Tamandua tetradactyla: one gene and its partners. The protein of the gene in region 4 purifies or fractionates together with the protein of the main gene of each other region. This does not show direct contact. Links are inferred from orthologs where the notes say so. Each region holds a gene or a part of one and is shown on either strand. Other genes may lie near its edges. The genes, in order: RNPS1, RBBP6, ITCH and CPSF6.

Region 1 (7,542 bases), on a different chromosome or scaffold from region 4:
CAGCCAAGGAGCGGGGCAGTCGGGGAGTCCCCATCCATACCTGCCACTACCTCTGGCCGGCAGGAGTAGGAGGCTGGAGCTGTGGGGTTGGGCCCTGCCTTCCTTTCTCAGCAGACGGGGCTGCCCAGGCTCTGTTCCTGGGGCCCAGCCCACACCCCACAGATGCCTCCCTGGTCAGAGAAGCTCCATGTGGCCTGGCTGCAGGGGGCTCAGGGGAGGCCAGGCCAGCTATGGCCCCTGCTGCTCCCTGGCTCTGCAGTTCATCCCCTGCTGCAGCCCCCTCTCCCCTGGCAGCCCACCCCAGGGTGGGCAGCTCGGTGTCACTGGCCTCGACATTCTAATGACAAGAAAGGACACGTTGCTTTTTTTTTTTTAGGATTTTTTTTTTATTAATTAAAAAAAATAAAACATTTAGAAATCATTCCATTCTACATATATAATCAGTAATTCTTAATATCTTCACATAGTTGCATATTCATCATTTCTTAGTACATTTGCATCAATTTAGAAAAAGAAAAAGACAACGGAAAAAGAAAATGATAATAGAGAAAAAAAAAAAACTATACTTACCATACCCCTTACCCCTCGCTTTCATTTACCACTATTTCAAACTGAATTTATTTTAACATTTGTTCCCCCTATTATTTATTTTTATTCCATATGTTCTACTCTTCTGTTGATATAGTAGCTAAAAGGAGCATCAGACGTAAGGTTTTCACATTCACAGAGTCTCATTGTGAAAGCTATATCATTGTTCAGTCATCATCAAGAAACATGGCTACTGGAACACAGCACTACATTTTCAGGCAATTCCCTCCAGCTTCTCCACTACATCTTGAACAACAAGGTGATATCTACTTAATGCGTAAGAATAACCTCCAGGATAACCTCTCAACTCTGTTTGGAATCTCTCAGCCATTGACACTTTATCTCATTTTACTCTTCCCCCTTTTGGTCAAGAAGGTTCTCTCAGTCTCTTGATGTTAATTCTCAGCTCATTCTAGGGTTTTTCTCAGTCCTTTGATGCTGAGTCTCAGCTCATTCCAGGATCTTTGTCCCATGTTGCCAGGAAGGTCCACACCCCTGGGAGTTATGTCCCATGCAGAGAGGGGGAGGGTGGTGGGACTGCTCATATTGGCTGGAGAGAGAGGCCACATCTGAGCAACAAAAGAGGCTCTCTTGGGGGTGACTCTTAGGCCTAAATTTTAAGTAGACTTGACCTACCTTTTGTGGGGTTAAGTTTCATGTGAACAAACCCCAAGACTGGGGGCTCAGCCTATAGCTTTGGTTGTCCACACTGCCTGTGAGAATATCAAGAATTCAACTTAGGGAAGTTGAATTTCTCCCCACTCTCACCATTCCCCGAAGGGGGCTTGCAAATACTTTTCCAGTCACTGATCAAATCACTCTGGGATTCATCGGGGGATCACTCTGGACAAACCAACAAAATCTCAAGTGCTACCTGAGATTACTAGTACTTATGACATTCAAACTATCTACATGAGTTATATTAGGAAATGCTCTAGTCGAAATCTAAATTTTGTAACAAACATTTTTTGCTTTAGTCTTACACATAATGTGACATTTTGAAGTATTAGTTATCATCTATTTTCAGCACCCAGCAATAATGACAATCCTTTGTTCTTCCTCATGCAAAACATTTTTAAAATTTGTACATTGTACATTTCACTATTATTATACACTCTAGGCATTCCTAGATTATACCATCTTGATCTTTAACATCTATCTTTCTTTCTGATTTCATTTATGTCCCCAGCCCTCTTCCCCCTATCATTCTCACATGCAGCCTCATTCAGTGTTTTAACATAATTACATTAGTTAGGTAGTATTGTGCTGTCCATTTCTGAGTTTTTGTATCCAGTCCTGTTGCACAGTCCATATCCCTTCAGCTCCAATTACCCACTATCTTACCCTATTTCTATCTCCTGATGGTCTCTGATACCAATGACATATTCCAAGTTTATTCTCTAATGTCGGTTCACATCAGTGGGACCATACAGTATTTGTCCTTTAGTTTTTGGCTAGTCTTACTCAGCATAATGTTCTCTAGGTCCATCCATGTTGTTACATACTTCATAAGTTTATTCTGTCTTAGAGCTGCATAATATTCCATCGTATGTATATACGACAGTTTGTTTAGCCACTCGTCTGTTGATGGACATTTTGGCTGTTTCCATCTCCTTGCAATTGTAAATAATGCTGCTATAAACATTGGTGTGCAAATGTCCGTTTGGGACACGTGGCTTTGAGCCTGAAAACCTGCACAGCTTCCCAGCCCACAGCTCTGGCCCCCCAGCCCCTCTGAGGCCCGTCTCCCTCAACCCGCTGCCCCTCCTCCCCCCACCCCACCACGGACAGTGTCCTTCTGCAGCACCTCCTCCATCCACCCCGGTTCCCCCTCCTCTCAGCTGCACTCAGCATCCCCATCCCCTTTAAGCCGCCCCTCCCGCACACCGCCTAATTCCTCTCAGCCCGCACGGTGTCAGGCAAAGGACTCGAGGAAGTCAGGAAGTGTCTGCTGGAGGGGCCAGAACCCAGGCCCGCTACGACCAGGCTTGCCCCAACCCCATCCAGGCCCCTTCAGACAGCATTAAATTCTCCCCAAAGTCACACAGCTCCTTGCAGCCTCCGCTCCCACCCAAGCAAGCCCCTGTGCTGTACCCTGGGCTGGGCCATGCCTGTCTTTAGCACCCATAGCTGGCTTTAGTGATGGGCACAGGTGCTTCCCAGACATCGTTTTCAAGGGGATTCGGTGCCCGCCTCCACCACCAGAACTGCCACCCCAGCTCTCGCTGTGTCCCAGCTGCCAGCCTCCGAGGGTGGGCCCTGCAGAGGCCATCTGGACCAGGGAGGGTGAGGGCAGGAAGAACATTCCACCTTGCTGTAAGCATGCTCCCCACATCAGCACTCCCCAAGCCTCCCGGGAAGTCTAAAGCACCTAACTGTGCAGAGGGAGCACCGGTAGTGAGGAAATGGGGGAGGGCGCTCCCCAGTCCCCCGGGTGTCAGTGACCTCGGCGGCCTCTCCCAGGATGCTGCCCCAGGCCACGTGCAGAACTTCAGGGCCCGGCCAGCTGCTCAGTGCCCTGTCCACAGAAGCCTGCCCTACCCCCATCAAACCACCCCATGGGGGGTCCCCATGACCTGGCCTTGCCACCCTCAGCGCCCACAGCCTTGGCAGGATGGCACTGGGTCACAGGAGTGGGGAAAGGCAGGACTCCCGAGGGACGGGAGAAATGTACATCCATGTTTCTTATGAACACATTTCTACTGTGTCTCAAAATGGCAAGATCAGGATGCTCAATTTTTAAAGCTCAACAGCTGACTGTACATTTTATAACAAAAACCAGTAATATTTAGAAACAAATTTAATTAAATTCTGAAGTGTCTGAATAAATCATGTTAAGTTTAATATAAAATGTGTTAAATTTTTCAGGCATGCCAAATTAAATTACTTTAGCGCATTAACCAAAAGCAGGAGGGAGGAAGGGGGCTGGCTTTCCACCCCCCACCGCCCTCTCACCACGGTGGGGTCTCCTAGCTGCCCCTGAAGGGTCAGTGCTGCCCTGGACACATGATGGTTGGCTCGGGATTTGGGGAGCCCTTGCGGATTACGGGTTCCCACGTGCTGTCACTTCTGCCTGACTGGACCACCTAGTCCACCCCATCCCCCAACGCCCACCTCTGGCTCCCCCTCACGGCAGCGGGAAGGGCTGAAGGCACCACCCACTGGGGCACCCCTCGTTCCCACTTACCCCTTGATGCTTGGCCACGCCAGGGGACGTGATCACAAGGCACAGGATTTAACTCCTCCTAAATGTCGCCACATCGAATCTAAATCCAGGGGGGCGCCCCCACCCCCAACCCTGGAAAGTGTGGGCAGGACCCCTCCTTGCCGGCTGTGTTTTGCCCCCCAACTCCTCAGGCCAGAGGGACTGGGGAAGGGAGGGACCACACCTTTCCACCCACCCACCCATCCATCCATCCTGAACTCTTTCCTGTCCTTCACTTGAGGCCCTTCCTTCAAACCACCGGCAGGAATGTGCTCCCCTCCTCTTCCCCGCTGCACCACCGAGTTCCAACAGGTCACCCAGGCCGAGCACCTTCTCTCCTTCCACAAATAACTGCGAAGCGTCGACTACTTGCCGGCCACGGGGGTGACGAGGCGGGGAAGGAACCCGGCGAGGCCCGCGCCCTCCCAGCCCCCAGAGGCTCGGCAGCGGCCCGCACTGCGCGCCCGCGTTCCCACGCCTCGCCTCCCGCACCCACGCGGGACTCCGACCGCGCGAGCCCAGGCTACGCCCCAGCAAGCCCCCGAGCCCAGCGCGCGCGCACGAGAGGAGCGGGGCCGCGCGCCCGTGTTAACCCCCTGGCTGCCGGCCCATCGCCCGACCCACCCCAGCGCCGGGAGACGCCCCCAGGGAGGGAAACCAGGGCGGGTCCTTGACGCGGTGAACCAGAAACGCCCTTGGCCCTTTAGACTCTCCTCGCTCACGGCCATTGGCTGCCGCGGTTTACGTCATCGCTGTGCGACGACGGACGGCGCGCTCCCGCTCCCGAACCCTGACGACAGACAGGCGCCAGCCTCGGCGGCTGAGGAGAGCGGGAGGCGCTGTCGGCGGCGGGAAGATGTAAGTTCGGGGCGGAATCCGACCCCATCCGAGCTTGCAGGGCCGCCCGCTAGGCGCGGCGGGGCGCATCGTGGAGCCGGCCCCTCCACAGGCCCGAGGCGGGAACGGCGGCCCGGCGGCTTGGGTTCTTGGGAGAAAGTGCGGGCCGGGGCGGGCGGAGGGGGAGGCGCCGAGGCCGCGGCCCGGAAGTGGTCGGGCCCGGCGCGGACGGAAGGGCGCCCCTCGCCCGGTGCGCTCGGCGGCGGGCCCAGCTAGGCCCACGGGGCTCCGAGGGGCCGGCAGAGCGGTCTCCGCCCTCGCGTCCTCCCGCCGGGCCAAGACCCGGACCCGCAACGGCCTGGAAGCGCTCGCGGCCCAGAGCCTGGACGGGGGAGTTGTGAGTGAACGCGGACGGGAGGCGGCAAGGTCGGCGGGCGGGTTGCTTTGTGGGCGGCCCGGAAGACCGGCTGATACTCGGTTCCTGGTCAGCAACTCACACATTTGCCCGTCAATGTTACCGGGTCTCTGGTGCCCGTCTCGGTACCAGGCCTTGGGAATCCAGCCCGGTGTAGTCCGAGCACGGTGACCGAGGCGGGCACAGTCCCTGCTGTCGGAGGGGCTCCGTGTCACGGGTTCCCCCAGAGGGGAGGGTGCTGGAAGGTTAAGGTCGCTGGAGGAGACCTGGAAGATGCTTTCCTGCTTTAGTTTTTTCGCATGAATTGTGCCTAAAATGTACATTTAAGTGATAAAGGTGCTCTTAAGAGTCGAGCCCAAACGCCATCCGCTCGGGATGTAACTAATTGTTCTCTTCTTTCTCTGGCTGTTGGACGCCCACCATTCCGGAGGATGGGGGAGGTGACTGCGGTCCTGTCCTGTTACCCGCATTTGCGTGGACAACCTCACTCTTTGCTTTCTAGTACCCGGCAGTACCCAGCAAAGCGCTCATTTATTCTGCGATTCTTAGTTTTTACAGTGCTTAAAAATAACCGCTGGTGTTTGTTTTGCAAAGTGCATTCAGGGTTATGTCCTCGAGATCTTTAGGATTGGGGTGGGACCCAGGAATCTGAATGTGTAACCTGTAAGCGGGGTCTCTGCAGTAGCAACTAGCCACATGTAATTGTGGAGTACTTGAAGTATAACTGGTCCCAGTTCAGTTGAAAAATGTACACTAAGTTTCAAAGATTTGGTATGAAGAAAGAATGTGAAATGTTTTATTAATCTTATATTGACATCTTGGATATACTATATTCACTTTATTAAAAATTTCACCTGAGTTTTACTTTTTATAATGTGGCTACTGGAGAATTTTATGGTATGCTTGTGGCTCTTTATTCTCCTTCTGTGGACAGCATTGTTCTAGGTGATCCTCACCTGGGCAGGCCAAGGACACCTGTAGAGCATTCAGGAACCGTGTGTCACTTTGGAAACAAGTGTGCATGTGGGAAAAGAGCCTCCAAAAGTTGAGAAACAACCCTCTCATAAAACATCAGCTACCATTTATTGAGCCTTAACTGGGTGCCAGGTCTCTTTGGTGGATTAATTCCATGAATGTACTTGTTTCCAGATGAGAAAATAAGAATCAGAAAGGTTCAGTGACTTGTCCAAGGTTACATAGCAAAAGTCTTGAATTAAACCCAGGCCAACTGACCCCTATACTCTATACTCCTATCCACTGAATTCTACTCCCTGATTGCCCAAGGACACTCACCTTATCAGGTGCTTCCTGCTGGTATCTGTAGCACTTTATTTTAAGGTTTTACAGCCCTGGGAAGGAGCGTAAGGGTGATAGTCTGCTCTCTTCCACATAACCAGCATTAGAGTCTAGAAGTAATATTTCTGCTTTCTTTGCTTTATCGTGTTTCTAGCCATCTATTAATCTTATATTTCATTTCAAAGAAAATTGTACTTTCTCCCTACACTGAAGTACACATTACCTTAAAGTTCAGTATTTCCAGTAACTACTTTTTAAAGTATCATTTTCCTGCATTTTTAATGTTCATATGGGACATTTTATCTATTTGTGTTTGGGTATTAAGTGTTTTGATGCTAGTACTAGTCACTTTTGAAATATATTTTTGCTTGTAGTTATATGTCCAGTATATCCTAAAAAGAAATTACAGCAATAAAACAAGACACCCAGTTTTATAAGGAAAACCACACTTGAGTTAGGCTTTTCTCTGTGTTGCGTGTGAATGGGGTGCTGTATTTTTTTTAAGGGGCTTTAGAGGGCTCATCAAACTTATGGCCCAAGAAACTTATATACAGCCTGTAACATGACAATGACAGGTTTCACCTCCCTCCCACCCCCATTTGCTCAAGAAAAACAGAAGCTGAGGTGACGGTTCAACCTGTGCCTCCTGTAGGGTGAGAATCCTCTGTAAGGAAATGGTGACTGCCCACCCCAGGTTTCTGGCTGCGTGGACACTCTTTGCTTACTGTGTTCACGTGCCGATTTCTCATGTGCTCAGCTTTTTACTGCAAAGTAGATTTGTTGCCTTGCCAATCCGTTCACTCTTTAAATCCTTTTATCTTGTTATTAGGCTGCTCTTTGGCGTAAATTGCAATCGATTAGGGATCGTTTCTCAGAATCGAGTTAGAAGTGAGAGTTCAGATCAGTGAGGCCGCCATTGCTGCTCTGAACACTTCAGAAGGGGAGAATGGATTTATCAGGAGTGAAAAAGAAGAGCTTGCTAGGAGTCAAAGAAAATAATAAAAAGTCCAGCACTAGGTAATCCTTCTGTCAGATTTTTCTAGTGCTACTTCGGGGGTGCTACTGCTAGGAACTCTCAGAAAGGGGAAGGTTGGAAATGTTTTGCATTTGACAGTGAAAATGTCCTAAGCCACAGAGCATTTTGCTCTGAGGTTCCCTGAGTTCTCTGGCCCTTGTGGCTCCGTCCTGTGGGTTGTGGTGT
Region 2 (7,394 bases), on a different chromosome or scaffold from region 4:
TACAAAGCAAAGCTGATGGACAAGAATTCCTTCAAACAAAACTTATTCCACACAGTCTATTCAAGTTGTATTCAACTGTTAGATGGAAAAGGACAAAGCCTAGCATTTAATGATTCAGTTGTGTAATGCTCCAATAAAATATGAAACCTGCATAGTACATAATCATTAAAACTGCCTTTATATCCTCTTGTATTAATATTATTAATGTTTTCTTTCTCTCATTCATAAGTGCTCATTAATATATCAATATGGCCTAAATGAAATGTAACTACAATACTTAAGGGATGATTTGCTGGGCTTAATAAGAATATTTCTCTTTAGGTATTTTCTCAAGTAACATGTTAAAAAAAGCTCTCTCAATGTTCATGACCACAATCTCTCCTTTTCTTAAGTAGAAGGATGCTACACATAATTACAATGACCAAAGCTTCATATGAAGTGCTCTTTAGATATAACATCTGTTTAAAAAAAAACAAAACGGCAGTTGATGGTGGAGGCAAGGAGGGTTTATTCTTTCACATGTAATCATTTAAGTAAATAAAGTTCTTCCTAATGAACAGTTCTGAGTCATGATGCCGGTATTGCTGTTCTTTAAATTATGTCTGGAAACGGAAAGCTGCTCTTCTACGTGAAAAGATGTACTCTACCCAACACCACATTACATGCTAAAGATGGGGGTCCTCCCATATCAACTAAATGAACAAATGTCACATCTTACACCAAGTTTAGTGATCAATAAATCTAACCTAGTTAGAACTTCACTTCATTCATTCTCATTCCATCAATAAAACTCAACATTGACCTACTGTAAACTACTGTACTGAGAAAAAGAAACCAAAACAAGTTCACAGTCAAGAGTCTGAAAAGGCCATCAGCACACTGTTTCATCTATTATTCAATTTCCAGTATCATAAAATAGTTTCAAAAAGGAGAAAGAACTTAAAGATTCCAGCCAGTGGTTTGTTTGTACTCATATGGTAGCAACCTACTATCTGTCAATATTCTCCTAACATAGTCATGTAAAGTACAGCAATTACTACTTTAAAAAAGAAAAACCAGTTCTTTTGATCTTTAATCAACTGCTAAATTTTAAGAGTAGTATGATGAACTAAGAGTTCAACTATCTAATTACTGCATTACTAATTCCGTAATTTATACACAATACAAAACCTGTCACATAAGAACCTATCAAGTTCCAAAATCAATTACAACATTAAAGAGTGGGTGGATTAAATTCGCAAAAATAACTCCAAAATAAGGGTAAGGGGCGGGATAAAGGGAGGACATCAATTTGCCATTATTCCCCAAAAGCAAAATTAGAGAAGTATCTTTATTGCTGCTTTAACAAATAACAAGCCTTGCATATGCTCTCTTTCAACCTTCTTTCGATGGAAAAAAAAGTTACAGCACAAGGCAAGAACCAAACTCTGGATACCCGCCCCTCCACCCATTCTCATTAAAAAAAAAGAGTAAATAATCAAACTTTCACGTTTTTGGATGAGCCTGTTACAAATGACCTAATTACACAGAAATCAAATTAAATAAACCAGTTAATCTCCAAGTAGGGATGCTGTAACCCTTGGCTATCAATTAAAGTTGCATGGAAAGTATTAGAACGAACAGAGACATAATGGCGGTTAGTCTTCTGCCAGACACCTTACTACTACTATTTATCTTCAACCAGCAAATACCTGGAGCCCATGTGGCTCTTACCTTCTTTCGTTTGCGCGTTGGTGATCTGCAGGTCGCAGTCGGCAGCTTTCAGCTTCTCTCTCCCCATAATCTGCTTCTTTAAATCGCAGAGGGAGATGTGGAGCCCATCAAAGGTGACGGTATCATAGTTGAGTTTAGAGGAAAATTTATAATGCACACAGGACATGGTGCCAAAGGATTCCTAAGGTTCAGCGAGGAGACGTGGACACTCTCACTATATGTATATTTATAAACTTAAGAGCAAAAATGTACACACACAAAACACTCAAAAGACACGGAAGGACCCTAAGGTCTTGGATTAAATAACCCCCAACCACAAGCAGGGGTTCGTAAAACAATAATCCAGAACCCCCCCCTGTTACTCAGAATCACTTCATGTGGGAGGAGGGAGACGAGGACCTGGAAAAGGGGAAATCGAGAATCCGCCAACGGGCACAATGTCACCCGGCTGGGTCCCCCTCGCTCATGCTAAGGGCCGGCAGGAGACGGGGGTAGGCGGTGCAGTCAGTAGCGGTCAGTCCACACGTTAAAGTCCGAGTGACCCCCGCGGGGTCAGGGGTCCATGGCGTGGCCGCACCTCCCGGTTGGTCTCTTTCCGTGGAATGGGGTGACCCAGGCCCCGGGAGAAGGTTGAGGGGAGAGGGCCTAGGCCCGGAGTCCACGAGCGGCCTTTCGCCTCCTCCTGGCTTCCGGACGACTGGCGTCGACTTCCCCAGGCCCAGGCCCCCAGCCCCCACACAAACCCCTTTCTCCTGCTGCCGGCAGACCACAGGCGGCCCCGCGGTCTAGGCCAAAAAAAGCGCGGTCGGCGGAGGAGAGGCCTTTCTGCAGGCCGCCCCCGGCTCCACCTCCCCCCCGCCGCCGTGCGCCGCCGCCGCCGCCGCCGCCTTAGACACAAAGCCGGTACTAGGCCTCAACTGGGCCTGGAAGCACTTCCTCACCACCCCCGGCCCCAGCCCAGTAGCCGGGTGGCTCTGGCGGACCCCGGGGACGCCGCCGAGTCTCCCTGACGCTTCCTCTCGCCGTGTGCTCCGAGCTTCTCTCGCCTTTCGCTTCCGTCGCCTTTAGGCCCAGAACCGCCAGAATATGGCCGGAAACCGCCGGGCAACGGCAAGGGGCTTTGCTGGCTCCCTTTTTTTCTTTTTTTTTTTTTGCCCCCCTGCCGCTCTCCGGCCCTCACCAAGCGTCGGCGACACCTCCAAGCCAGGCACTATGGCGGACGCGGCCTGGCTTCGGGCGAGCGCCCGACTCCGGGGTCTCTTAGGCAAGGATTGCACGGGCGGCGCGCGCGAGGTGGGGCTGGCGTGAGCGGATAGGCGGGCCGAGAGGCGGAGCCGTCGACGTCACAAAGCGCACCGGCCCTCCCACGTGACTCCGGCGCTTTGTGACTCAGGAGCGCGGAACCTGAACTAGACCGAGGAACGGAAGAAACCATCCGCCTCTAAAGGGAGGGGAGAGGCTTTAGAGGGAAAAAGGACCGGGTCATAGGGTGGTTCTAGGGGGAGAGTTCAGATTTCAGCTTCTGCTGTGCTAATGTCCACTGAACAGTGGGGTGCCAAGGGGTGGCCGGCTAACTGTCCCTTCCCCACAGTTCCGATCAACTCTCCCAAACTCCCCAATTTAAGTAAACATATGGTTACTATGCAGTAAGCTATGGTTGCTATGTAAACACTCCCTACCTCCCACTTCCAACAAACTGGCTACCCCAAGCCCTTCCGAAATAGAAATTCTGATCCCAGCCGCAGCCTAGAACTGATAACATCCAGAAGAACGAAGATTTATTGAGCTCTAAGTATGAGCTAGGCACTGGGATAAGCACTTTATAATATTCCCAGGTTCTGGAGTCAAATTCTCTGAGTTGGAACCATAGAGCTCCGACTCTAGATTTAACCCCTCTGTGTCTCAGTTTCCCTAACCATAAAATGCTGATAAAAATAGTACTTGGTTTCTTGGATTGTTATGGTTTAAACGAATGAATAGATTTACATTGTTTGGAACCAAGCCTGGCATGTGGTTCAATACGCGTCAAAAATGACTCAATGAATGTCAATTTTGCAACAATAACAAAAACCCTAAGTGGTCAGGACTACCATTATTTCCAGTTTATTGATGAGGAAACTAAAGCTAGCAATGATGCACTTTCTGAATTCGCAGAAAGCAATGCCAGCTGTGTGACAGGGTCTCAATCCCATTTCGAATTACAAAGGGCAGGAACTATTCCAAAAGAACATCCACCACCACCCCAATGAGTTGGAATCTCTTTTCTTGGGGCATGGGGCGGTCATACTGCATTCATAAAATTCATAATATAAACTATATTCATAATCCACAATAATAACTATCGTTTACAACGCATTTCCTCTATCCTCTCTGAATTTTACAGGCCAGTCGGGCTCAGAAAAGTTAGTCACTGCTGTACAAGATCACACAGTCAGGAAGTGGCAGAGTTGCCAGAGACTTCCTGAATACACACTAAATTCTTACTGAACTCGATTTAAACCAATCATCATCTTGTCAGTAAAGCCTTCCTGGCCACGTTTTTCATCTAGGTAACCCTGCCAGCATTCGCCAGCTCTTTACCCGTATTTTCTTCCCTGCTTAACATTCATCACTAACTAACATAGTATACATTTATTTTTTAATTGTTTCCCGGTCCCAGTTGAGAGCAAGAATTTCTCTTTTGATTATGCTGTGTCCCCAGCTCCAAGAACAGTGCTTGGATATAGCAGACGCCCAATAAAGATTTGTTAAATAACTAAATACATTTTTATGTGATCTATAGAAATACCATGGCAATAAGATTTTTACAACAAGGGTAAGATTTTTACAAGCGTAGCCCCAGAGATGCAAATATGATTTAGCTGAACCATACACATCAGTGTTTTTCATATACAGCAAGTTTCCACTCATTTTCTTTGGTAACTCACAAAAATTTTTTCACCCACAGTTCAGAATGATTGGTTTCCTTGAAAAATCTCGATGAGAGTGTAAGAGGATTAATAACATCTAAAGAAAGAAAAAACACAAGAATAAATTATATTGATATTCACACCTCCGAAGTGGTGAATCTGTATTAGTCTTTGACTAATCCCCTTTTACCTAATTTTTTTCTTTATTAGAGAGGTTGTGGGTTTTACAGAACACTCATGCACAAAATACCGGATTACCATATATCACCCTATTACTGGGTGGGCCATGATGGCTCAGCAGGCAGAGTTCTGGCCGGAGACCCGGGTTCAATTCCCAGTACCTGACCATGTTTAAAAAAAAAAAAAATCGCTTTCCTATATATCACCCTATTATCAACATCTTGCATTGAGTGGAACATTTGTTACAATTGGTACCATATTTTTATAATCCTACTATTAACTATCGTCCATGGTTTAATTAGAGTTCACAGTGTAGTTCCAAGGAGTTTTTTCTTTCTTTTTTTTTTTTCATGGGCAGGCACCGGGAATCGAACCTGGGTCCTCAGGCATGGCAGTCAAGCATTCTTACCTGCTGAGCCACCGTGGCCCGCCCGGAGTTTTTTCTTTTTAATATTATTCTGATTCCATTTATACAATCTAAAATTTCCCCTTTAAATCACATTCAGATGTATATTTCAGTGCTGTTAATTGCATTAACAGGTTGTGCTACCGTCACGATGATTAACATTTCCATCATTCCAGACAGAAATCCTGCTCTTTTTAAGCCTTAACTTCCTATTCTCTATCCCCATCCCATCCCATGATAATCTATACTCTAGATTTTGACTCTATATGAATATAGAATATGTGAGTTTGCTTATTCAAATTATTTTAAATCAGTGAGATCATACAATACTTGTCCCTTTGTGTCTGGCTTACTTAACTCAACATGATGTCTTCAAGGTTCTTCCATGTTGTTGCTTAGTCCTTCTTTGGCTGAATGATATTCCATTGTAGGTATATACCACATTTTATTTATCCATTCGGTGGCCGATGGACATTTCAGTCACTTCCATCCTTTGGAAATTTGAATTTGAATAATGCTGCTATGACCCAGTGTGCAAATATTTATTCAAATCCCTGCTTTCAACGTTTTGGGGTATATACCTAGAAGTGGAAGTGTCGGGTCATGTGGTAATTCTGTACTTAGTTTGCTGTGGAATCACCAAAATGTCTTCCACAGTGGCTGCGCCATTTTACATTCCCACCAGCAATGAATGAGTGTCCAGATTTCTTTGCATCCTCTCCAACACTTGTTATTTCTCATTTTGTTAATAGCAGTAATTCTAATGGGTGTGAAATGGCATCTCATTGTGCTTTTGATTTGGATCTTCCTGAAAGCTAATGATGTTGGGTATCTTTTCATGTGCTTTCTAACCCTTGAAACATCTACTTTGGAGAGATGTCTGTTCAAGTCTTTTGTCCATTTTTAAATTGGATTGTTTACCTTTTGTTGTTAAGTTGGAGGATTTCATTATACGTACTGTATAGTAATCCTTTATCAGAGATGGGATTCCAGGTATTTTCTCCCATTTTGTAGGTTGTCATTTTACTTTCATGATAAAATCCTTTGAGGATCAAAAGTTTTTAATTTTCATGAGACCCCACATATCTATTTCTTTTGTTACTTATGCTTTGGGTATCAAGTCCAAGAAACTATTGCTTAAAACAAGGTCCTGAAGGTGCTTGCCTATTATTTATCCTAAAAATTTGAGAGTTTATGTCTTATAATAAGGTCTTTGTTCCATTTTGAGTTAATTTTGTATAGGGTATGCGGTAGGGGGGGTCCTTCTTCTTCTTTTTTTTTTGCAAATAGAGATCCAGTTTTCCCAACACCATCTGTTGAAGAAACTATTCTTTCCCAATAGAGTGGTCTTTGCTGCCATGTCAAAAATTAGATGGCCATAAATGTGAGGATTGATTCCTGAGTTGTCAATTCTGTTCCATTGGTCTGTATGTCTGTCCTCGTGCTAGTTCCACAATGTTTTGCTTACTGTGTGTGCTGGTTTGAAAGGATGTGTGTACCCTAGAAAAGCCATGTTTTAATCAAAACCCCATTTCATAGAAGCAGAATAATCCCTATTCAATACTGTATGTAATTAGATCATCTCCCTGGAGATATAACCTAATCAAAAGTGGTTGTTAAACTGGATTAGGGGAGATGTGTCTCCACCCATTTGGGTGGGTCTTGATTGGTTTACTGGAGTCCTATAAAAGAGGAAATATTTTTGGAGCATGAGAGATTCAGAGAGAGCAGAGAATGCTGCAGCAGCATGAAGCAAAGAGTCCACAAGTCAGCAACCTCTGGAGATGAAGAAGGAAAACGCCTCCCAGGGAGCGTCATGAAACCGGAAATCAGGAGAGAAAGCTAACAGATGACGCGGTGTTCACCACGTGCCCTTCCAGCTGAGAGAGAAGCCCTGATTGTGTTCACGGTGTGCCTTCTCACTTGAGAGAGAAACCCCGAACTTCATTGGCCTTCTTGAACCAAGGTATCTTTCCCTGGATGCCTTTGATTGGACATTTCTGTAGACTTGTTTTAATTGGGACATTTTCTTGGCCTTAGAACTGTAAACTAGCAACTTATTAAATTACCCCTTTTAAAAGCCATTCTATTTCTGGTATATTGCATTCCAGCAGCTAGCAAACTAGAACACTGTGGCTTTGTAATAAGTTTTAGATCAGGAAATGTAAGTCTTCCAACTTCATTCT
Region 3 (7,950 bases), on a different chromosome or scaffold from region 4:
AAAATTCAAAATTGAGAGGAAAAAGAAAGGAAGGGAAGAAAACAGGTAATTTATTCCTTCAGCCAAACACAAATCTCTTGGGCCAGAATGAATACAAGCAAAACTCACTTTTAAGCCAAAGTTCCTTGTAAAAATTTTGCCTAAACAGTCAAGAGGAACAGGCCAGAAATACTTTTGTTTTTGTTTTTCTCTAATACCAAAAGCTCCTTAGTAGTATACATTCATCTTGGTATATTTTAAGACTACCAACTAGGGTTACAAAACTTGGGTTCTAGGTCTAGCTGACTCTTAACTAGTTTTAGGAAAATTATTTAACCTCTTTAGTCTTCTTCTTCCTTTTTTTTTTAAGCAAAGCAAAAACTAAGAGGCTACAATAGGCAAAAAACCTATCTACTAGGTAAGTGCGTCCAATCATAACACACTTTCCCAGAACACTCATGACCAGAACTGCAACAGTCCTTCTGCAGCTACTTCCAGTGAGGGTTGACCCATAAACCAAAATATATTTGCAAATGTGGACTAGATGATCTCTGTAATCTCTCCCAACTCTAAAATTCCAACACCAAGTTTCTGTAGAATGGAAGAAAAACAATTACATTCAATGAAGCTTCGATCAATAGTGTTAATACTCATAAATTTCAGTCCAAATCCTCCTCCAAATTACACCTGACCTTTTCTAATTCTCAAAGATGCTAATGAACAACTCACTCTGATACCATTAACATACACAAGCCAACAATATTACTCTGATTTACTAATGGACTCTTGACAGAAAAGAGTCCTTTACCCAAACTGACCCTAAAAAGTCCCAATCCACAATTAAAGTAGAAATACTACTGTACCAGTGAAGAACCAAATTCAATCCCTCAATCATCCCCAAAGCCTCTCTCCAAGGTCAGGCTTTGTCACCTCTCATCTGAACTTCTCCAATAGCCCCTCTTCATTCTTTCACTCTTATCACCAGAACCTTTCTAAAACACACATATTCATATCACTTCCCTGCCTAAAAATCTGTATCTATTAAAAATTCAAATTTTTAGCATTATGCTTAGAACTTTTCATATACTTGCCTTGTTTCACCTTTCTGGCCTCTGCATTTACAGATAGGATTAATGTTTTTTTCTCTTTCCCCATTTGTCACATTCCTATTTAACACTTTAGACCCAACTTCAGGTCCAGGGACAGGTACTGCTCCTTCTCTGACCAACCCCCAGGTGTAACTGGCCACTTCCTCTTGACCTTTCTCAGAACTTTTTGGGCTATGTGTCCATGGTATTGTTTATATTAGTGATTCCCAAGACCATCAGAATTACAAAGCCATGTTTTAAAAACATGCCTTGGGGACCAACAGAGACCTACTAAATTAATTTCAGGAGGTAAGACCCTGGAATTTCTATATTTAAAAAGCAACCCTAGTTATTCTAATGGTTAAATTTAGAGACCACTGGCTTCTTCTGAAATCTTCCAAAAGGTGTAAAGATGTGTTTTGAAAAAGAATGTAGAAAAATGACTCATTCTAGAACATGCTGAAAAAGTATTCTACACTTGCTTTTTATTTCATACTATATTCTGGTTGATTTCCTTTATATAGTGAAGGTGAAACTCAAAAAGTTTGCATTCGCTATTCAAGAAGGCTGAATTTCCACCTTCATTTCTAGATCTCAAAAATGAAATAACTGTACCTTGAGAAAACGTGTGATTACACAGTGCAGGTTCTCACTACATCTGCCATGAGAACTTTATTTCAGCTGTGAAACAAGTCCCTGGCCAATTTTGAGAGTGGAAATAAATTTGCCTTTATATACTTTATTAAGATGGAATTATATTAGAGATAGATTTAGTGCAACTATAGTGCTTCACAAATTTTCAAAGAAAAATCCTACCATTCCTTCCCCAACCCCTCCCCCAAAAACTATACTGCAGCTGTAGAATAACGACAGAAAATGTAACAAGATTAAGAAACGAATATAACCAAGAGAACAAGATAAACTGTCACTGGAGAACAGTGAATTCCGGGGAGTTTGCAAGTTCACCTGGTCAGAGAGATGACTAACTTTAGGCCCAAAGTCTACATCGGTACACAGACCCTGTGTGTCTCCACGTCGCGGGCCAAACTAAGTCTGAAAACTTGAATCCCCCATTTAAATTCATGTCAACATGTTTCAAACACTTAGACATCGTTCACGGCTACTTTTTTCTTTACTCTGCTACAGAAAAGGGCACACTACGGAGGGAGAACGGTGACAGCTTCACGTCTGCAAACTTGGCGCAGAAAGGCGCGGGCCGGGGTCCCAGCGGTGGCGGGTGCGGGCGAGGGCGCCCGGGCCAGGACCACCACGCGGGGGGACAATGGAAGGAGGAGGAGAATACAGGAAGGGAGGGAAGAGAGCCGCTGTGCTGGGCCCCCTCGCGACTGGGGGCTACAAAAAGTCTTGGGCAAGCCAGCCAGGGAGTAGGTGGGTCCAGAAACCGCCCCTCACAGAGGCCACGTCGCTCACAGCCGCCCGGGTCCGCGTGTAGGCCGGGTCACCCGCGAGTGGCCCCCGGGCGGGGCAGAGGAGCGCGGTGCCGGACCCTGCCCGAACCCACTGCTGCCCAGCTCCCTCACAACTTGGCGCCCGCGAGGAGAGGGGCTCCAGGTGCCTTAGCCTCGCACTGGCCGCCCGGCCCGACCAGTCGACCGCCCCCTCCACCCCACCCCCAGCCTCGGGTCACTAACCCGAGTTCCCCGCGCCCCCCACGGGCACTGACTCTAAGGGAAGAAGGAGCAGCCGCGACTCTGGGGTCACGGCTCGCGCGCCGCACCCCTCTACCTCTCGATCTTCCCGGACACTCTCACCCGGTTCTCCCCTCTCCCTGGAACCGCCCCCGGTCCGCCCGCGGGTGTTTACCGGGACTCGGGGCGGCGGCGACTCCTCAGTCGCTCGACTAAGATGGCAGCCGGTCCCGAGCCCCAACTACAGCGACTAGAACGAGTTGGCAGCCAACGCGCAGGCGCCTCAGCTCGGGAGCTGTCCGGACTACAAGCCCCAGCAGGCCTTGCTCACTCGTCCGCCTCCGGCCCTGAAGTGCGGGCGGGGGCTAGTATGCGCCCTAAAGCCGAGTTCCGTCCCCGCAGGTGGGAGGGCTCTGGTTCCCAAACTCTATTTGTGCATCATAATCACCTGAAGGGTTTGTTAAACCATAGATTGCTGGGCTCCATCCCTAGAGTTTCTGATTCAGTAGGTCTAGAGTGGGGTCTGATAATTTGCATTTCGAGCAAGTTCTCCGGTGATGCTACCAGTAGGTAGGAGATCACACTTTGAGAATCGTTGGACTGCAACTTAGTCCTTTGCTGTGGAGTTATACTGATTGGGTTAAAATCCCCCTTTCTCCACCTCTTAACAGGATGATCTAAGGGATGATGATAGTAGCTTACAGTTAAATGGCCACAGGTATTCTAGAGTACTCATCACTAAACTCCTTTAATCCTCAATACAAACCTATGAGGGAAGAATTGTTACTGTCTCCATTTTACGGCTGCATAAACCAGGTCACAAGCGAGATAAGAATTTAGGCGATCTGACTTCGGAGCCCATCCTCTTAGCCTTCCTTCAGGGGTTGTCGTTGACACAAGCTGTGCCAGTAAGACCTGGGAAGTAGGGACTAAATGGTCAGTAATTAGTGACTTTTGCTACTATTGTTTAGCCTGTTTGCACCTAATGAAAATAATATTTAACCATCGAAAAAGCCACTTAAACATTTTTCAGAGAACTTCAAATCCACCGTGTCAGAGTTTCTCACAATAGTTTCAGCAGAGCTAGAGAAAAATATTACTTCCTGGCCGCCTAATTCAGTCACATTCTCTACGATACTGATTCTCAAAAGTTTGCTGTGCATGGGAATCACTGGAGGATTTGCTAAAATATAGAAGGCTGGGCCCCACTCTCAAAGTTTCTGATTCAGTTGGTCTGAAGTGGGACCGGAGAATCTGTATTTTTAACCAGGACCCATACTTTGAGAACCACTGCACTAAGGCAGTGTTCTCAACCTTTTTTCGTTACCATCCCCCTAAGGAGCCTTTTTAAACTTTTTTGCCTACTGGCTCCCCTGAAATTTTAATACCACAGATATACCATATATGTTTATTACTGTTTGTGGACCTGTGCTCTATACATTAAAAAGTAAGATTTTTTTTCCCCTGTCCTCTCCTTTTTCCAAACAATTTTTGTATACTCTAGGGGAAGCCACATTTCCTGACTAGTGCCCCAGATGATACTTGTCACCAAACAAGTTTGAGAAATATAGTGACTCTTTAAGATATGAGTTACTTGTATGGTCATTCTTCAGAGAAGGAAACAGAGTCCCAAGGAAATTAAATGATAATCCAAAATCACTCAGCCAGAAACTAGGGATCCAACCAAGTCCTCTAGCTCCAGATTTTGTTTTCTACAATTTTTAAAAATTTTATAAATGTTAGGCAAAACTAATATATGATAGTTTACTGGAATCCTTTAAAAGAGGAAGCATTTTGGAGAGAGCTAGCAAGCCATAGGAGAGCACAAGAACCAAGAGAGCCCAGGCAGCCAGAGACCTTTGGAGGATGAAGAAGGAAAACTGAGGGAGTTTTATCAAACAAGAAGCCTGAAGAGAAAGTTAGCAGATGTCGCCATGTTCGCCATGTGCCTTTCCATTTGACCCTGAAATTCATCAGCCTTTGTTGAGTGACGGTAACCTCTTGTTGATACCTTCATTTGGACATTTTTATAGACTTGCTTTAATTTAGACTTTTTCACAGCCTTAGGACTGTAAACTTGCAACTTACTAAATTCCCCTTTAAAAAAGCCAAAAAAAAACCCAACAAAAAACTAATATATGGCATTAGAAGTCAGAATAGTGGTTGCCCTTTGAGGGGAGGTAGCACCTGTGTAACCAGAGCTTTGCCAACACCAGAGCTGAGCTCCATTCCAGGCTCGGTGTCTTGCCCCAAGAAAGAATTCAAGGATGAGAGAAATAATTCAAGGATGAGAAAGCAAGTAACAGTAAGCATTGAAATTTACTGAAAAGTTAGTACACGCTAGAGAAATTTGTGCAGATGTGCTCAAGGAAGAGGCATGCTCCGGGTGGCATGGTTTCATAGGGAGGTTTTGCTAGCAGCAATTTTCCATTTTGACCTTTGAGTGCCAGTTGTCTTCCATGTTTCAGGAGGAGATAACTATTGGTGCTTGTGACCTCCTACTAAAAGTTCATTTTGAGCACACTGTTTAACAATCTTTATGACCTCAGACTTTCTGTTATTAACTAAGAGTCCATTTTGGACCTGTGATTTAATAAGCTTTATGGTTTTGGGGGATTTCTGAGCTTTGGAGGAAATTCTTGTTCTAGGGAGTTTGCAGTTGTGCATTAACTCCTTTGGCACTGGGTACAAAACTAGGGACCACAGCCTCAATGCCCTATTCTGTCCTGCCTCACCTGGATAGAGGCACAAAGGGGCTTCTAGTATCGATAATAATGTTCTGTGTCTGAGTGCTGGTTCTCAGGTGTGTCAGCTTTGTGAAAATTCATTTTAGAGGATACTTACAATTTGTGCATTTTTTTGCATTTATATTATATGTCAATATAAGTTTACTAAAAACAAATATATGTTTGATATTTACACTCATATTATTCTAAAAATATATCTCTTTCGACTACATGCCAAAGAACCTCAAACTTTAGGGTGCATTAGAATCACCTGAAGGGAATGTTAAAACTCAGAATGCAGGGTGTGTCACCCCAGAATTTCTGAGTCAGGAAGTCTGGGGCCAGCCCAGAGAATTCACCTTTCTAACAAGTTCTCAGGTCATACTGATACCCAGGATCACACTTTGAGAGCCATACTAGACTATGCTGTACTAACCTTGCTAACCCCAACAGGACAAATTAGTTATGACCTGGTAGGTAGTACCTAAACCAGCAAGAGTTAAAAATTTGGGCTTTGGAGTCACATGGATCAAGAATCTAGTGCTGCCTGTGTCAACAACTTGCTGTGGGCTTTTAGTTAAGTCACCTGAACCCCAGTGTCCAGATTTCTAAAATAAGAATAGATCCTACCTGCTAGGATGTTGTGAAGATTCTATGAGATCAAGGGTAAGGAGTTGGTAGCTCTCTAAGGAGGAGCTGAGTTGGTGAAGACAAGGATCCCAGCCTAAATGCCTCATCTCCCATGCAATGTATCTTTAGCTTCCAGGTTCTGAGATAAAGAAAAAAAACAGCTCAGTTTTGTCCTGGTCAGAATATAGGGCTAGTGGCTGATAAAGCCTCCAGGTAACTTTTCCCTCTTTCTGCCTTGGACACCCTGCCAGCAAAGGACAGAGCCCCGACACGCCAGCACAGGGGTAGGCTTGTAGAAGCATGCCAACATGTAGGCAAGGAGCTTTCCAGTCTTCTCAGGCAATGGGAAGGGAAAGTACCAGGGATACAGAGCCAGAAGGAGTGGGGACAGAAACCCCAGCAGCCCACATACCACCTGTCACTTAGTGGCTTTCCCTACAGAACACTTACTCATGCTGCTGTCCTTCTATTCCCTGGAGCAGCTCTGCTTTTTTTATTCTTATTTTTTTTAACTTTTCATTTTGAAATAATTTCAAACTTACAAGACAGTTACAAAAATAATACAAACTCCATACAAAGAATTCCAACATACCCTCCCCACCCAGATACCCAGATCCACCAATTTTAACATGCTGTCACATTGGCCGTATTATTCTAACTATCAATCAGTCTATCAATTCATCTATCTATCCATTTGTCTGTCTGTTGATCAATCCATTTTCTGAACACTTCAGTGTAGGTTGTATATATATCATGCTCCTTAAACACTCAATACTGTCATGTACATTTCTTAAGGACAGAGATATTCACTTAGTATTCACCCTAAGTGCAGTTATCAAGCTCAAGAAATTTAACACTGATATAAATCTCACAGTCTATATCCCTATTTTTTCATATGTCCCAACAAATATCCTTTTGGGTCTCCTCTCCTCCACTGCTACACCCCATCCAGGATCATGTGTTAACTTTAACTGTGCAAGTGCTCTCCTTCAGGCCTTATCCATTCAAAGAGTTCAGAGAATATCTCCAGACCAAGGTATAGGGGTCACCCTGATCTTTTCTATGCATGCTGATCCTGCCTGTCTTGTCTTGGGTATGCATGTGTGGCCTAAGAATGCTCTCATTTACAAAATTCCCAATGTCCCCTCTCCCCTAGGAAATAGTTTTCTCCTGGTCTCAGGCACTGAGACCTTCAGCCAGCAATCTCCTTGCCTCAGGTGTCTGCTTGACTGCTCTCCCACTCAAAGGACAATTTCTATGATGGCCAGACCCTCTGGCCAACACCAGACGATTGGAGCAGACATACATGCTCCTAGTATGTATGTGCGTGAGGGTTACTTTGCTTCCTCTCAAAGGGACCAGGGATTTGCTCTGGGGCCACTGCCAGCTGAGCCAGGGAGTGGTGGGGAAGGAGCCACCCAGAGTGCCAGGAGATGCTAACACTTCTAAGTAGACGTTTTCTTGATCTGAAACTACAACTGCAGTCCTTTAACTGTTTTCTTGAACTTTGAGGAAGATGTTTCCGCCAGTTTTGCTTGTTGTTCAAAGCTTCTGTGGAGGGACAGAGCCCTGAACTAACTCACTCTACCATCTTGATCTGAGCAGACCCCCTGAAACCCCTCTGCTTTTCATTGCCAAAGGCAAGGGAAGGATTGAAAAGTGGAGAAACTGTGTGTTGATGGTGAGCAGTCGCTGAATAGGGCTTCTAGAAGTCTGAGATCTGGACCCAGAGAGATCACTTCAGACCTGAGGTTGTGGCTCCATCATTTCCCCTCTTTGAGACTGTTTCCTCATCTGCAAAATGAAGTACATAATCTCTGTTCCTAGCCACCTCAGTCATTCCCTCCCAGATAGTGTTACCAGATTTAGCAAATAAAA
Region 4 (7,814 bases):
TAAAAATAAAATTAAAGTCTGTAATTACTACATACTAGGCTAATACTTACTACACTAAGTATAAATGACAGTTCAAACTGAATTAAAACACTATAGAGACTGAGACAGAACAGCTTTCTTCTGTTCTCAATTTGGTGACATCCAAAAACCTTCAGTTTAAGAACTAAAGGGCCTCCACAAAGAATAAGATAGCCAATTCCCTTGTGCCTTCTCACCTCCTCTAGCTTTCTTTTCCATTCTTAAATTCACCAGGTGAAGAAAGGAACTCTACTGCAGTTTCACTTTCTTGTTTTCACTCCATCCCCAAACAAGTTAGTTTCTTCTAAGACAAAAGAATGCCTCACACACAACTTCAGATAGACCAATACTGTGCTTTACCAAAATAATTTTTAAAAGCTTCATAAACTACCACCATTTAAAGAAGTAAAAAACAGAAAATACACAAACCACGAAGCATTTCAAGTTACATACGCAGTTTAAAAGTCAAAAATTTAAGTCGACTGACTTAACATAGTAAAATAATGTACTCAATTACTTCTTATTCAAAATCTTATAGTTTAGTATAGCAACCAGTAGAAATAAGATCATCTAATAGAGGGCAAAACTAAATTAGTCAGCAATAACTTCACAGTTGTCTCTTAAAAAAAAATTTTTCAATGATACTAGCATTTTTTAAAAACAGGATGAACCTTGAAAATGACCAATTATCCTTTTGCAGCCATTTTTAAAATAGGGAATTACCACAGCAAGCAGATTAGAGGCCAATGATATGCAAAATAACAAAAACAAAGCCTGTATTTAATAAAACTGTAATGCCTCCCGCCATTAATCCATTCAAAGACATTAACAATTTTAGGGGGCAAAATCACACAACTATTTATGAGATATAATGACCCAGATATAAGTCAAGTGACATTCTAAAAGAACCTTACAAAATAGTTCATCGAATTCACAAAATTTTAATCTCTTACCTCCTGCTCACTCAAGCCTTAATGCACAGAGATAACAAAAAAATATCACTCCAACCACCTATGTGGATATAGGAGATGTCCCTCCAAAATTAAGTATGTAGAAGTCTAAAAACATTTCATAAAGAGGTAATCAAGAAAGCTTAATCTCTAAAGTTCGCCCTAATTCTTCCTTTATTGTGGGTAGAAACGCAAACCAATATATTCTTTTGTAGGAAAAAGTAAGGAAGACAATCTTGAACATTTAATTGTCCCTTTATTCACAGGTGTGGCTTCTTTTGGTCAGAGCGCTCTACTCATCTGATAAATACATAAAAGAAATTTCCTAGAAGCCTTTATCTATGGAAATTAAAAGCATTAGAACCCGATGCTGTGTAGCACTCAAGGAAACTTTCTAAGTTCTCATCGACACAATTCAAGTATCATACAAGCAAAATATAAGTGAATTTAAAACACAAGAATTTTTAAACTCAACATTTAATGACAATGGGTTACAGTTAAACATTTGCAGTTCTGAAGGGAGTAGGAAATATTTAAAAGCTAATTAAGATTTTTTTTTCCTCTTCTAATATTTGAGCCACACATTCTTGAAAAAAGGAATGTAAGATTTCTGGAGTTTTCGTATTTTAAAATATCTTGACCTCCTACCGCAAATAAAATCCTTAATGAAGGGAAAAAAAACCCAAACATTAACCAAAATTTTATTAAGCTTCTCGTTCGAACCTGGAAAATATAAAAAACAGTGCTATTAGGTGTCACATAAAATGCAGCAAAGTTGTGAACATAGGCTTTAGGGCTTAAACGTCATTAACTTGGTTAAACAAGATCTTCTACAAGGATGCTTATCATCAGACACCAAGTTCTAGGCAACTGTGACCTGATACCAGAACAAATCTTGCTTTCTCACTTTCTCTAACCTCTCAAAATATAAAGTGGATCCCTCCGAGTAATTTAACATCTTGCTTTCAAATACAGCATATCTAAAATTCTTTATTTTCAAATTTAAGAATTTCGGGTGAATGTCCGTTCTTTATTCTTAAACACGCCTCTACACCTGATCTCTAAGTGAAAATACCATGGATCTTTTTGTTGCATCCTACCATCGCGCTTCCAAGAACTGCTTTTCGCCCAGGCCACCTATCTTCACAGGAATTTGTATCACAAAGATCAAGAGAGACTGGGCCGCAAAGGCACTGCAAAGCCCTCGATTAACGAGGCCAGCCAGCGTACCGACTTTTAAATACAATTCGTGGGTTCTAAAGTCAAAACACTTGTTGCAAAGATGCTCACATTTAACACGCCTTCTCCCGGTCAGGGAAGGAGGAGGAAGGCGCCACGCCGAAACCTGTCGCAAACGCAAGCAAGAGCGCCCGGGAAGCGGGGCGCGCGGGATACAAAGGGCCGTGAACGCGGCCTTCCATGAGGCGACAGTGCGTGGACAAGGAAACAAAATGGAGCGACAGGAGGAATCGGAGCCCGGACGGCAGCGCCGGGAAAGAGACGGCAGCCGGCGCGAGCCCCTCCGAGGCTTCCTTCTCGGGCCCCGAGGGGGAGGGGATGCGGCGGCGGCCCTTTCTGCCCGCCGCGCACACGCGGCCCCGCCGCCCGGGCCTAGCGCGGAGAGAAGCGCCTGCCGGCCGCCGCCTACAATAAGGAGCAAAGCGGCGGCGAGGGAGGGGTCGGTGGCGGCTGCACCGACGGAGGCCTGCGTCCGTGCCCCGCAGCTACGCGGCCCGCGAATCGACGCGGTAGAACGAGGGGCGAGGGGGGCACCGGAGCCGGAGGAGGGGCCCACAGGCGGCAAGGGCGCACGGTCTGCAGCCGCGCGGCCTCGCGGCCCGCCTCCGGCCCCGGGTCAGCGTCCGGGCCGCAGTGCCGCCCACTTCGGCGGTACCGGCCGGGGCCCTCACGTACCTGGTTGAACTCTTCGCCCACATCCGCATAAATGTCTATATGGTCCACACCGTCCGCCATCTTCCTTTGGGCTCTGCCGCCGCCGCCTCCTGCAGGTCTGCCCGCCTCGGCAGCAGCAGCGGATCTAGCGGCGGGGGCGGGGCGCCCTAACGTCACTTCCGAGGCCGAGAGGCGGAGGCGGGGGCGCCCGGGGGTGGCGGTCGCCTCTGCAGCCTAGCGGCTCCGCTGGCTGAAAAGATGCTATTTGCCGCTGAGGGCAAAAGCGGTTTCTTTTGTGTGTCTGGCTTAGGCCCGCGGGGGAGGGGGAACAAGTCCCTTTTCTTACTCGCGCACCTAGCTTTCCTGTGCATCCCAGTTGTTTCCAGAGGCCGTGTTTTTACATTGCCTCTGGCACACTCAAACGTAGTGGGGTTTTTTTGTTGTTTTAAAATATGTATTTTTGTTTCTTAATTTTCCTTCTATTTCTCACAGCCAGGACGTCTAGAGAGGTAGAAGTTGTCCACGATTAGGTACAGTGTAACCCCTCGGTCATTCTTTAAGCGCCTTGAGAGCAGGAATAATGTCGTTTTCCTTTACCTTCAAAGAACGGCAGAGTTCCATTTCCATCGTAAATGCTAGAAGCCCGTTTGTGGTTGTGTTTAGTCATTTGCATGCTATTCTCTTTGTGTCCCTCTCAATCTCTCATCACTTATCTTCTTTCATTCTCATTTTTTCTTATTTGATCTGCTGTTGGCTTTCACTGGTAGTTCAGATACCTGTAGCTTGAATGCAATTATCGTAGGACAAACATCCAGTAAGGTGGAGAAATCTTAAGGTAAAGAGATTATCTCTTAGAAACATCGAATGTCCAAACGGGAAAGGAACTGAATGGTGTGTGATCAGGTCCAAACATCTCATTTGGCAGGAGCTGGAGACCTAATAGAACCTAAGCAATCTAACCGTGTTGCCACGGATACTTCATTTAAAGGTATTTCTCCAGTTTGAAAACTTCCCCCTACTTTTAACCCATTTTTAAAACCTCCAAATTAGAATGTTTCCTAAGATAAGGACTAGCCAGAAATCTTAAAGTACTAAGCCAAGCCAACATCTGCCCATGGGTTTTGGTTGAGTACAAAATTCTGCTCAGACATTCTATGAACTTGATGACCTTGGTCAAGTTACTGAATCTCTCTCATCTTCTGTCTCATAATCTTTAAAATTGGGGTAATAAAATCTACCTCAGATGGCTGATGGTACCTTAAGGGAGATAAAAGGCAAAAAGTGCCTACCATTGAGAAATACTGATTTCCTTTCTGACTTTGAGTAGTCTTTATAGAAGAAAAAATCACCCAACATAAAGGGTAAGAGCAATTTTTAGAATGGTAGGAAGAATGATGACGACCCAATATGTCCATGCCCTAATACCCAGAACTTGTGAGTATGTTACATTATGTGACAAAAGGAACTTTGCGGGTGTGGTTAATGATTTTGAGATCAACCTCCCCATTTGGAGAATTTTATATTCTTGCAAACAGTGGGGACAACCAAATCAATAGGCTGATCTAGGGGTCACCCCTATAAAACTTATTCCTGCAAAAGGATAGGTTAAGCCTACTTAAAATCAGGCCTAAAAGTCACACCCAGAGAACCTCTTTTGTTGCTCAGATGCAGCCACCCTTTGTAAGCCAACTCGGCAGGTGAACTCAGTGTCCTCCCTCCTATGTGGGACATGACTCCCAGGGGTATAAATTTTCCTGGCAAGGTGGGACAGAACTCCTGGGGTGAGCCAAAACCTGGCATCAAGCAATTGAGAAAGCCTTCTTGACCAAAAGGGGGAAGAGCTAAATGAGGCAATGTTTCAATGGCTGAGAGATTTCAAACAGAGCTGAGAGGTTATCCTGGGGGTTATTCTTATATGTTGATACTTTAACTGGGACATTTTCATGGCCTTAGAACTATAAATTTGTAAGCTAATAATGCCCCATTGTTAAAAGCCAGCCCATCTGGTCTATTGCATTCCACAGCTTTAGTAAACCAAAATAACAAGGAATGGACTCTTCCCTAGATTCTCCAGAAGGAACACAGACCTGCCAAAATCTTGGTCAAGGCCAGACTTTGGACTTCTGGCATCTAGAACTGTAAGATAATAAATTTTCATTGTTTTAAGCCAATAAAGTGGTTATTTGTTACCACGCTAGCAAACTAATACAGGTGGGCTGGAAGAAAGTTCCTCTACAACATTCAACTCCCAAGGATACCTTTGGCTTTCAATTCTAGGTAGACCTGAGTCATAGAATTTCAGAAGTAGGGGAACTTTTAAAATTATCCACCCAGCCCTTTATGACGGTATTGAGGTAAAGGACTTGTTTATAGTCAATTGGCTAATCAGTAGTAAAGCCTACTTTTCTTTACGTTAAGTAGTAAAGTCCTAAGACTCATCAATGCTCTTTGAAGGAGCATTGATTTTTTTTCATCTAAGTACAATGATGACTACAAGAAATTTAATAAAGAGACTAGCATGTTGTAGAAGGTGCTCAATAAGTGGTAGATTAGGTTATTATTAAGAATTTTTTCTTTTAATCTATGGTAATGTTTTAGTTTTTGAACATTGTTGAGTGAGGAAGTACACTATAACATAATTTTTAAATCATCAGAAAGTTAATGAGAGTGAGTGTGGAATTTCCTGGCCAAGAAGTAGAAGAGAATAGGGTCTATACATTCAAACTTCTTTTGCCCTGGTAAGAGAAGGGGAGAATTTGCAGATGCATAAAGATGAATGAGAGGCTGAGCTATGCTTTTGACAGCTGGGAGACAGAATTAGTGATACAGAAGATAGATCAGGAAAAAAAAAAAGGTATCCAAAATGAAGCATGAGGAAACCAAGGATGGAAAATATGAGAGGAGAAATAGTGGCTAGAGAGAGGAGATCTAACATGCATTTAATTGGAGTTGTAGAAGAAGAGAAGAGAGGGTTAGAAGCAATATTTGAAGAGATAATAACTGAGAATTTTCCAAATATCATGAAAAATATCAGACAATATTAGACAAGAAGTCCAGTGAATCCCAAGCACCATAAACTTAAAAATATACACCTAAACACATCATAGAGAAAAAATAGAAAACTCAAATCCAAGAGAAAAATCGTAAAAGCAGCCAGAGAAAAGGGACTGATTCTCTTCAAAGAAGCAGTAGATTGCTTGTAGCAGTGGAATGACTTTTAAATGAATTGAAAGAATATAAACTGCCACCTAGAATTCTATACTCAGGAAGAATATCCTTCAGGAATGAGAGCAAAGTTTCATCCCCCTGTCCCATATTATCAACAGCTCCTTCCAACATGAAAAAGTTAGAATGGGCATGGCCCAAATGCCCGTAAAGAGTGGGAAAAAGATCAAAGGTGATGGTGGAGTTATACAGAGAAGGTTGGGTTCAACAAGTGAGTCTGAGTGCTGAATCATTATACTGATATTTCTATTGGCCTCCAGTACCTTGGAGCAGCTAGAAATAAAAACCAAAAAGGGTGGAGTTGTAACCCATACCAAACTCTGAAATCTGTTCTAAAATTAATTGTTGTGATATACTTTGAAATTTATTGCTTTTATGTTTATATGTTATTTAAAGAAGAGGAGGAGCATAACAGAGAAGATAGGATTTAACAAATGAGTATAACTGCTGAATCATTATATTGATGTTTCTGTTGGTCTCCAGTATCTTGGAGAAGCTAGAAGAAAAAAAAAAATTATGGAACTATAACCCGTACCAAATTTTAAAATCTGTTCTACAACTACTTGTTAAAATGTACTTGGAAATTTATTGCTTTTTTGTATATATGTTATCTTTCACAGTAAAAAAATGTTAAAAAAAAATGAATGAAAGCAAAATAAGATATGCAGAAACTATGAGAATTTTACCACTGGTACACAAGGAAATTTAAAAGATATTTTTTGGATAGAAAGAATTTGATCCCAGATCGAAAATTTGAGATACAGAAAGCAATAAAGAGCAGTGAAAATGTTAAGTATGTTGGTAACTCTGAATAAAGATTGTGTAAAACAGTAATAATACAGACATGTGGGGTTTAAGTACATAAACGTAAAATCACAATTAAATAAGGGAAACCAAGAAGTTATAAGGGAGGTAGATAATGTTTTTTCTGTACATCCGTTTCTTCCCTGAACAGAAGAGCTTTCTCTCTTTTTCCATACACATGGCTATGCAACAATCAACTCCAGGGTTCAGATAATTACTGCTCAAGAAAAATGGTTAATTGTCTTAGTTTCAGTTACAAAACTCTAAAGAGAAAGCAGCTGATTAGATTTTTTTTTTTTTGCTAGAAATCTACTCTCAGTCCAACCAAGTCTGTCTGAGGGGGCGGGTTACACTGTAAAAACATGACTGACAAATTTCATCCTGTAAGTTAGGAAAGGGTGGAGAATTCTCAGAGAAAAAATGTTGCATTGAGCTAGGCAAACACCCCAAAGGATATCTAATACATTTTACCTGTTAGATTGGCAATGCATAAACAAAGGCTATAAATATTTAATACTAGCAATCATTCTGACTTATTCCAAATCAGTCACTTAATATCATCATCTCTGTAGGAACATGACTAGGCTTCCAATGCACTTGAGACCGTAATTTAGCCCTGTGCTCTCCAAACCTTTAAAAATACTCACCTCATCAGTATAACATTTAAAAACAGGTAGCCACAGTACATGTATGTGTATATATATATATACACACACACACACACACACACAATTTAATGTCACTATATGAATTCATTTTATATTAACATACACCATAAATATGCATATAAATATAAAGTTTTAAAGGATGAAATAAACAAAATTTTTAAATGTTTTGCTAATCATCTTGGCCTCATACTATAATTAGTAGTTATATCACTGAATTTCAAATAGTCTTCTTAAAATTTTTGAAATTTGGGGACCT

Evidence for each region.
Region 1: the proteins of CPSF6 (region 4) and RNPS1 purify together in Homo sapiens (co-immunoprecipitation; 3 studies listed by BioGRID and IntAct, with this or other methods). This does not show direct contact. The link is inferred for Tamandua tetradactyla from reciprocal best matches to the Homo sapiens genes CPSF6 and RNPS1.
Region 2: the proteins of CPSF6 (region 4) and RBBP6 purify together in Homo sapiens (affinity purification with mass spectrometry; 3 studies listed by BioGRID and IntAct, with this or other methods). This does not show direct contact. The link is inferred for Tamandua tetradactyla from reciprocal best matches to the Homo sapiens genes CPSF6 and RBBP6.
Region 3: the proteins of CPSF6 (region 4) and ITCH purify together in Homo sapiens (affinity purification with mass spectrometry; 5 studies listed by BioGRID and IntAct, with this or other methods). This does not show direct contact. The link is inferred for Tamandua tetradactyla from reciprocal best matches to the Homo sapiens genes CPSF6 and ITCH.

What each region holds. Positions count from the first base shown.
Region 1 is NC_135349.1:55,261,134-55,268,675, forward strand, and holds the start of RNPS1 (RNA-binding protein with serine-rich domain 1), read left to right. Parts: upstream 1-4,541; 5' UTR 4,542-4,649; coding exon of another isoform or gene 4,650-4,651; intron 4,652-7,170; 5' UTR 7,171-7,287; coding exon 7,288-7,358; intron 7,359-7,542. UniProt on the Homo sapiens protein: Part of pre- and post-splicing multiprotein mRNP complexes. Auxiliary component of the splicing-dependent multiprotein exon junction complex (EJC) deposited at splice junction on mRNAs.
Region 2 is NC_135349.1:32,520,303-32,527,696, forward strand, and holds the start of RBBP6 (E3 ubiquitin-protein ligase RBBP6), read right to left. Parts: upstream 3,012-7,394; 5' UTR 1,880-3,011; coding exon 1,714-1,879; intron 1-1,713. UniProt on the Homo sapiens protein: E3 ubiquitin-protein ligase which promotes ubiquitination of YBX1, leading to its degradation by the proteasome.
Region 3 is NC_135327.1:18,487,549-18,495,498, forward strand, and holds the start of ITCH (E3 ubiquitin-protein ligase Itchy homolog), read right to left. Parts: upstream 3,014-7,950; 5' UTR 2,892-3,013; exon of another isoform or gene 2,840-2,891; intron 1-2,839. UniProt on the Homo sapiens protein: Acts as an Acts as an E3 ubiquitin-protein ligase which accepts ubiquitin from an E2 ubiquitin-conjugating enzyme in the form of a thioester and then directly transfers the ubiquitin to targeted substrates.
Region 4 is NC_135333.1:137,453,000-137,460,813, reverse strand, and holds the start of CPSF6 (cleavage and polyadenylation specificity factor subunit 6), read right to left. Parts: upstream 3,018-7,814; 5' UTR 2,943-3,017; coding exon 2,883-2,942; intron 1-2,882. UniProt on the Homo sapiens protein: Component of the cleavage factor Im (CFIm) complex that functions as an activator of the pre-mRNA 3'-end cleavage and polyadenylation processing required for the maturation of pre-mRNA into functional mRNAs.